Canis lupus familiaris: one gene and its partner. The protein of the gene in region 2 purifies or fractionates together with the protein of the main gene of each other region. This does not show direct contact. Links are inferred from orthologs where the notes say so. Each region holds a gene or a part of one and is shown on either strand. Other genes may lie near its edges.

Region 1 (3,814 bases), on a different chromosome or scaffold from region 2:
TAGCTGCCAAATACAAGAAGTTAAATCACAGGAAAGCCTTTCAGGTTCTCACCATGAGATCATCTGATATTTCTGATAAAATTCTAATATGCTTAGTTATCTGAACATAATGGCTATTTTAAAAAGTCATTTAAGAAAATACACTACACAGCACTCTATATGAATCAAGAAACTAGAGACCAGGCACAAAAGGACAAGATGAATACCTCAAATGCCTAAGGCTGCATTATTGCATAAATACCATTTTTATGCCCTCAAAAAAGCATTTGGTACTCTTGCTTCTAAAATTTATAAAAATTCTTCCATTCAAAATGCATAAAAATAAAGACAGGTACCAACAGAGGGTTTATCTGTAAAAGTGAATTTGCAACACATTTTATTTCCCAAAAGAACAAGTATGATTTTGTACTGGGAATGATTTTCTACCCAGGGGACATGTGACAATGTTTCTGCAGACATTTTTGGTTGTTACAACTGGAGGAGAGAATGTTACCGCATGTAATGGGTAAAGACCAAAGATGCCACAATGCACAGGTTACCCCACAACAAAAAAAACTGATAGGCCAACCATGTAAATAGTGAAGTTGAAAAAACCTGCTCTACAGAAAAAGCATTGTGGCCAATGGGGGTACAAATCATAGATCATACAAATACTGAAGAAATGCAAGGACAAAGAAATGACGCAACATTTATAGCTCTTAAAACAACAGCCTTTGCTGGAATATTATGTGTATCAAGCATTCCTGTAGAAATTGAATACAAATAAAATAATTCACATTCCAATGGAGGTAGGCAGTCACAGAAGACCTGTGATTTTTGTATCTGGGAGAATTAGAGCAATTCCCCACAACACTGTTTACAGTTGTGTCATTAATGTACTACAGGAATTATACTGGTTTAAACATTCCTCTGGGACAATGACCTTTAAACCTAGGGAAATATAAAAATGGCCCACAGACCTCATTGAAGATGCAGATTCCTTTTTCGCCTCAGATTTCACCTATCTCAGCAAGTCTGGAACAGGACCAAGAACTTGCTTTTAACAAACTCTTCTACTCTTCTCTCCTAAGTAGACTGTCCAATGATCACACTTGAGAAAAATGTTCTGGGGCAGGGGTCAGACCTTTTCCTTTTACTGTAAAGGGCCAAAACAATTTAGGCTTTGAATGCACACATCATCTCTGTTGCACATTCTTTGCTCTTATTTACAACTGCTTAAAAATGTAAAAACAATTCTTAACTAGTGGGCCATACAAAAACTGAAACTGGAGGAAGGTTGGCACATGTAGCTATTTAAATTAAAATGCTATAAAATTAAAATGTATTCCCTCCTCTCACCAGCCACATTTCAAATCCTCAAAAGCCATACACTCCTGGTGAGTGACATACTGAACGGCAGACAGAACATGTTCAGCACCAACAAAAGGTCTGATGGAACAGCACTACCCCAAAACCTCACCACTCAACCCTGGAGAGCTTCAACATTACTTGGGAGCTTGTTAGGTAGACAGAATCTCAGGCTACACCTGACCTACTGAATCAGAATCAGTAAGTGGAAATTTTCTAAGTGGAACTGCATGTATGTTAGAAAAATACATTCTAGAAAGTTCATAAAGCCTACTGAAACAGAGGACAAGCTCTAAGAAAACCTCCAGTAAGAGGCTCTCTGAAATGGTCTTCTCCAGATAGCTTTTTCCTGAACTTTAGCTTGAGAATTTCATAGCACACCTATAAACCTACGGTGGAAAACAAGTTTTAAAAAATGCAGCACAAAAAAATAAAAAAAAAATCTACACCTGAGAATAAAACCTGTCAAAGTGAGGTAAATTCCAACTAAGAAATTTCACTGATTCCTTCTAATCTTCAGTGAACACATGAAGACAAAATCAAAACACAAACATTTGAAGCCACTCAACTTCACTCACAAGCTGACTAGGACAACATGATTTCACTGCAGCTGTGTGGTTCAAATTTATGCTTTAGCAAAGCTGCAAATTATCACACCACCACTTACCACTCAGGTATCTCCAAAGTTGAAAACTGCAATTGCTAAATCTTGAAATTCTAAAAGCACGTAACATTCTTAGGATAATTAACAAACACCAATTGTATAAAAGGGTATTCTTAGAGTACATATAAAAAGGGGTTATAATGCTTCATACATAAATACAGTCAAGTTGAGGAAAATCTTTAAACCTTGGGATAAGAAATACGTGGTTAATATATACCATGTTCTTAGATTTTAAAAGCTGTTGTATAATTTAACATGCTAAAGGCTAAATAATTAAGCAAATAATGACAATTAATACCTCTTGACCAGTTAAGAAAAGTAGAAGATCTCCTTCCTCCTCCTCACACATATGAATTTGGATCACTGTTCGAATGGCTGCTTCGAGATAATCTCTCTCTGGTTCAGGAGTATAAAAGATCTCAACAGGATGTGTACGTCCAGGAATAGTTAAGAGAGGACAGTTATCAAAGTAAATCTGGAATTTCCCTGCATCTAATGTAGCGCTCATAACTATAACCTGGGGGAAACAAAAAAACACAAAAGTTAATTATTTGAAGCAGTCTTCAAGGATTCTTACATGGTCCTAAGGAAAAAAAGACAAGTAATGTCTATGTTCTATATATATCTCAATTATTAAAAAACCTACAAAAATGATTAAAAAAATCAAATGCAGGGGCACCTGGGTGACTCAGATAAGCATCTAATTCTTGGGGCACCTGGGTGGCTCAGTAGTTGAGCATCTGCCTTTGGCTCAGGTTGTGATCCCAAGGTCCTGGGATTGAGTCCCACATTAGGCTCCTCACAGGAAGTCTGCTTCTCCCTCTGCCTATGTCTCGGCCTCTCTCTGTGGGTCTCTCATGAATAAATAAAATCTTCAAAAGTAAAAATAGTAATTTTTAAAAAGCATCCGACTCTTGATTTTAGCTCAGATCACGATCTCAAGATCCTAAGAGCAAGTCCCTCATCTCCTCCTCGGGCTAAGCAGGGAGTCTGCTTGAAGGTCTCCTTTCCCCTGTCCCTTGCCTTGCACACACTCCCTTTCTCTAAAATAATAAATAAATACATCTTAAAAAAAAATCAAATACAGAAATGCTGAACTATGATAAAAGAGTTACTGACATTTTTAAAAAATTAGAAATGAACACAGTATATAATAAGAAATAAATAACACCTGAAGGCCCAAAGTTCATAAACTGTTTTAACATATTTATGTTTACATAAGATTTATATAATATATAAAAGGGAAGGGTAAAAGACAACATAAATAAATAGCACAATTACTACTGTGTTTATTAAGACAGAACAGGACAACCTTACACACAGGAAAGAGCAGGAAATGCAAATAGAAAAAAAGAAAAACATCAGTGGCACAGATATAAATTTTCTCTTTTTCCAAATCACCTTTAATAAGAATGACTTCTTTAGAAAAATTGCTAAACAGGGATTTTCTACACTGTTGTAAAAAGCCAGTCACCAAAAGGCTGTTCCAAATACAGAGCGATGAAGACTGTACAGTCACCCTCTCTCCATGTAACTCAAACATTATAGCACCCATTAAAAATTTACTTAAAAAGAAGGCTCCCTCATAAAACATTCTACTACAGAGTAAATTCTACTTTGAGTTTCTTTCCAAAAAACCTTAATAGCTCATACCTGATTTCACTTATATATGAAATCTAAAAAACAAAAAGCAGAAACAGGCTCATAAATACAAAAAACAAACTGGTTGCTGCCAGGGAGGGATGGACAAAATGAATGAAGGAGACTAGGAGTTTCAAAGTTCCAGTTACAGAGTAAGTCAGT
Region 2 (4,529 bases):
AAAGGCATCTATGGACATTGTATGTCCATAACCCTAAAAAACAGGCAGAGTAAAATGTTCGTTTCAACCAGATCAGTGAAATCTTTTGAGCTTAGTGTCAACAGTGAACACAGGGATACTCTAACTCATTTGGGTGTTTCTGATCACAACAGCTGAGGGAATTGAGAAAACAGAATGCAAAAACCTGAGGGGAATTAGGTCAGCTCATGCAGCCAAGAGCCCATCCCCTGTGAAAGAGCCCCAGGATCATTAGCAGCAATTAACAGCACAGGGCACTCAGTGCTCACCACTACTTCCAACTGGTTTAAGGCAGCAAAAGAGTGCCACCTACTGCAAGACTAGCCACAGAACTAAGACAGTACTGTTAACATTCCAATTTTTTATCTAAAACAAGTTGCCCATTCTTAGTAGACTAGCAGAAGGGAAGAGAGGCTAGAGCCAACATCTCTCTGTAGAACTTGCTCAACTTCCCTCAAGGGGTAGCTGACCGTGTTCTGCCCAATTCAGGCACCTGGGATTCAAATAACCAGATGGCCAGTGGCTTCACATCACATGGGCAAGCATACCTTTTGCTCCATGATTGACAGAAGAGGGAGGTTCGTCATCAGACGTAGAGCTCAGGTTCAGGGCAAGCTCTGCAACTCTTTTCTTCTGTTTCTTGATAGGGGCAGTGCATTCTGGATCATTTCTCCTCCTCATTGTTACTGCAACCATAAATCCAGATCGTCAGCTGCCCTTGTCAGAGCCACTAGGATCAGAGTAGGGATTCCAAAATATAAATCATCAAAGGGATGGGATTTGGCAATTCCAAACAGATTCCAGTGCCAGTTTCTCAAACTGAGGTCCAGGAAGGATGCTAGCCAAGCTCTAGTCTTCAATAATAGCTGTTCGTTTTACTGGAAAATGTGTGGAGCTCACAAATTGAGAGGCCTCAGGGCCTTGATGTCAGATATCAAAAAGTCACAAGCCACAGAGGGGTAAAAGGTCTTGGGTACTTATTATTCTATACTTTTCATGCAACATTGGCCATGTGTATACTGGACATTAATTATGAAACCTAATGATTATGAACCAATATTTACAAGGTGAAGGGACCATCTCAGAATGACTGCTCCATCACCATTATAATTTTTATCCAGACAATTAAGAGGTTACACAATATAATACGAATACTGGTTTTGGTTTATTTCAGGATGTTTGAAAACATGAAAGAATTGGGAGTTTTCAATGAGGGTAAGGAATGGAAGCAGTGGTTGACTTAGGAAACAGAAGAGTGGGAAAGTTATTGAAACCAGAGGTAGCCGTATCATAGGACTCTGGTGTGAAAATAATTTTAAGAACACCAACACACCTCCATGAAAAAAGAATGGAAACAATCAGGTCCCAGGTCACCATTATCCATGCCCATGGGTAGGTACATGAGAGGTAAGATTGAGGGGAAAAAATAGATGGAATGAAGTGATTGTGACATTTTGAAACCTTAAGGAATGATCAAGTTAAAGAGCAAGCGAGAGCAGTAGTGAATCGGGTGTGGTTTACATACAACTGATGGGCTAGAAGAAGACTCAGAGAAAGAACTCAAAACGTTAAGAGCAGACAGGTGGGTGACCAACTGGGCTGCAATTCCTTGAGGAAGGGGAGGTGCAGAGTGACAAAACAGGCTTTTAACATGGACACAGCAGCCAGAGAGCAACGCAAGGCAAAGACACCGCTGATGCCCTCAACCTCACAAAACCCTGAATTACATGTTTCGCTTCTCTACAACTCAAGGATGAGCCAGTCAACCCAATGCATGATCTTATTCTAAGGAGGCAGTCTCTCTTACTAGCCACAGGCAGGGGTTATCCTGGGGAAGGAAGAACGGGGGACGCTGAACAAAGAGAAAGCAAGACCACGTTTCACTTTAAGCCATCGTCTTAAAGGCCGCCCCCGCCAAAAAAAAAAAAAAAAAGGTCCCTAACAAAAGCAAAAAGGGCCATCTGATTCTTAGCGACTCTGGGAGACTGCAAGCACGGGGAACTCAATGTGGACTGCGTTGGGGTGGGTGCAAAAACAAAGGGGGTGGGGTGGGAGAGTAAAGAGTTGTGTGAAAGGCAGGAGATACTGATGCTCCTCCCCAGGCCACCTTAGATCGGGGCCTTCCAAATCATCTACTCCAACGCTCTCGTTTTCCAGTGGGAAAACCTGAGGCGCAGGAGGGAAGGCCGCACACCTTAACCAGTGGCCCGCTCAAGTGACCCGCACAGGCCAGAGGAACGTGCGCCGGCAGCGAACTTCCCTTCGGGGCAGGGAAGCCCCGAGGCCTGTTTCTAGCCGCTGCTCCCTCAAGGCAGGGGCTCACACCCCCTGTCCAGTCGTCTCTCCCAAGGTGTCGGCTTGGCACTGCCACCCTTATCCACGCAGCGACAGGAGGTCGCAGCTCTCCCAGCCAGTCTTTTCATTTGAAAACAACGTGAGTGTGTGAATGTGTGCGCACAGACGTTCGTCGGCGGCGACTCGGGCTGCCGGGAGCGGGAGGGCGGGTGGGGGCGGGGAGGGCTGAAGGAAGCGGGGGGAGGGGCGGCGAGGGTCACCACCGCCGGTGCGCGGCCGAGGCGGCGGTGGAGGGGGAAGGATGCTAAGCCCGCGCGCCCGCCCGCCCGCTCGCTCCCCCCGGGCCGCGCGTCGGCACTCACGCTGAGGGGAGAGAGTGAGCTGCCTGGGAGCGGAGAGGCGGGGGTCAGGCCGCCGTTGCCGCCGCCGCCACCAGGCCTGGCCCTGCCGCTGCCAGAGCCGCCGCCTCCTCCCTCAGTTTCGTTTCCCCACCAGCCAGCCGGGTCCGCCGGCCGCGCTGTCACGCTCGGGTCCCGCCCTGCGGGCTGCGCAGCTTGATGACGTCACGGGCCGCCCGCACCCTCCGCGCGGCCGGGTCCTGGCCCCGGGGAAGAAGGCTCAGGTTCGGGCCCGCCCCACCCCCACCCCACCCCACCCCCACCCCACCCGGGGCGGGCCGGGGCGCCTGCGCGGAAGAGCCTGAGGGGAAGGATCCCGAAGCCACGGTGCCCGAGGTATCCTCGCTTCCCGCTCTGCGGGGCGAGCCACAGACGTAGAAATCAGAAGAGCAGGTGTCGTCACGTCACCTCATTTCATTTGATCCCGTTATTATTTTCATCTTGCAGATTAAGAACAAGTCGAGAGAGGTAAACGGCGAACTGGTTAGGGGCAGAAACCCAGTCTTCGGGTCCACCGCTGTATCCCCAACATCCCGCGTATAGTACATCTTCAACAGCTGCTGAACGAAGGTCAGGAGGAAAAAAGGAATGCTGCCTGTGGCATCTTCCCGTGTGGAAACAGATGGCTTCCCATCCCAAGCCCCCCTTCCGCTTCTCTGGCCAATATGGCCAGAAGTCTGCTTCACATCCTTAGTCACTTCACACCCATAAATTCAAATCTGACTTTATGTTCTTCTGTAAACCTGCTCTTTTTCCAGTGAACGGTGCCACCGTTCATCCTGTTGGTCCAACCAGAAATCTGGGATGGCCCTATCTCCCTCATTCCCCAGAGCCTCCGATACACACTTCATTGAGTTTACCTCCTAATTGTCTCCCAAATCCATACATTCTTCTCCATCCCTATTGGCACAAGCCATACACTCACCTCTCAACAGGATTCCTCCAATAATCTCCAAATCATTCTTCCTGTCTCCAGTGGTGATGCTTGTAGTATAGAATTTTTAAAATGTATTCTGATCTTGTAACCTATCAATGATTAAAACCCGTCAATGACTCGACCTCCCATTTCTCTTGGGTTGAAACTCATGTCTTGACGATGGCTACAAAACTCTTTAGTCTGACCCCATCTGCGGTCGTGCCTTCTGTTATTGGCCCTTTCTCCCCATCCCCATGTCTCTTAAGGGTACAACCCCCTACCTGGATAGTCTTCTCACCCTTTGCTTGGCTAATGTCCACTTATCCCTGAGATGTTTAGCATCCTTATCTGGAAATCTTTCCTAACTCCACAAGTCTGGGTTGGGAATCCCACCCCCAAGTTCCCATAGTTTTTTGTCTTTCTGCTATCAAAGCACTTATCACAGTGTTGTGTAATGACCCCTTGACTCACTTGCCTCCTCCATCCAGTTGTAAACTTTGTACAGGAAAGGTTATCCCCATCTGTCTGCATTAAATCTTGTGGATTTAATATAGTAGCTGGTAGTAGGTGCTCAACAGACATTTATTGAATCTGTGTAAGTATGGAAGGTGAATAAAGGTTAAGTGATGTACCCAAGGTCACAGAGCTAGGAAGCAGCAAATGGACATTTAAACCGAGGCCTCTTTGATTGTAAAGCTAAGTGTTTTTCCACCTCACCAGGGATTCTTAACATATGTGTGCCTTGGACACCTTTGGTAATCTTGTAAAGCTTATGGACCCACTCTCAAAATATAATTTGAAGGGCATAAAATACAATACAAAGGAAATTAAGAATTACAAAGGAAATCAATTATATTGAAATATAATTAACAGATTTTGTGATTTGTAATTGAATGTAAAAC

The links.
Region 1: the proteins of CMTR1 (region 2) and DHX15 purify together in Homo sapiens (co-immunoprecipitation; 3 studies listed by BioGRID and IntAct, with this or other methods). This does not show direct contact. The link is inferred for Canis lupus familiaris from reciprocal best matches to the Homo sapiens genes CMTR1 and DHX15.

What each region holds. Positions count from the first base shown.
Region 1 is NC_049224.1:86,179,227-86,183,040, reverse strand, and holds part of DHX15 (pre-mRNA-splicing factor ATP-dependent RNA helicase DHX15), read right to left. Parts: intron 2,529-3,814; coding exon 2,310-2,528; intron 1-2,309.
Region 2 is NC_049233.1:6,635,136-6,639,664, reverse strand, and holds the start of CMTR1 (cap-specific mRNA (nucleoside-2'-O-)-methyltransferase 1), read right to left. Parts: upstream 2,854-4,529; 5' UTR 2,676-2,853; intron 749-2,675; 5' UTR 715-748; coding exon 567-714; intron 1-566. UniProt on the Homo sapiens protein: S-adenosyl-L-methionine-dependent methyltransferase that mediates mRNA cap1 2'-O-ribose methylation to the 5'-cap structure of mRNAs.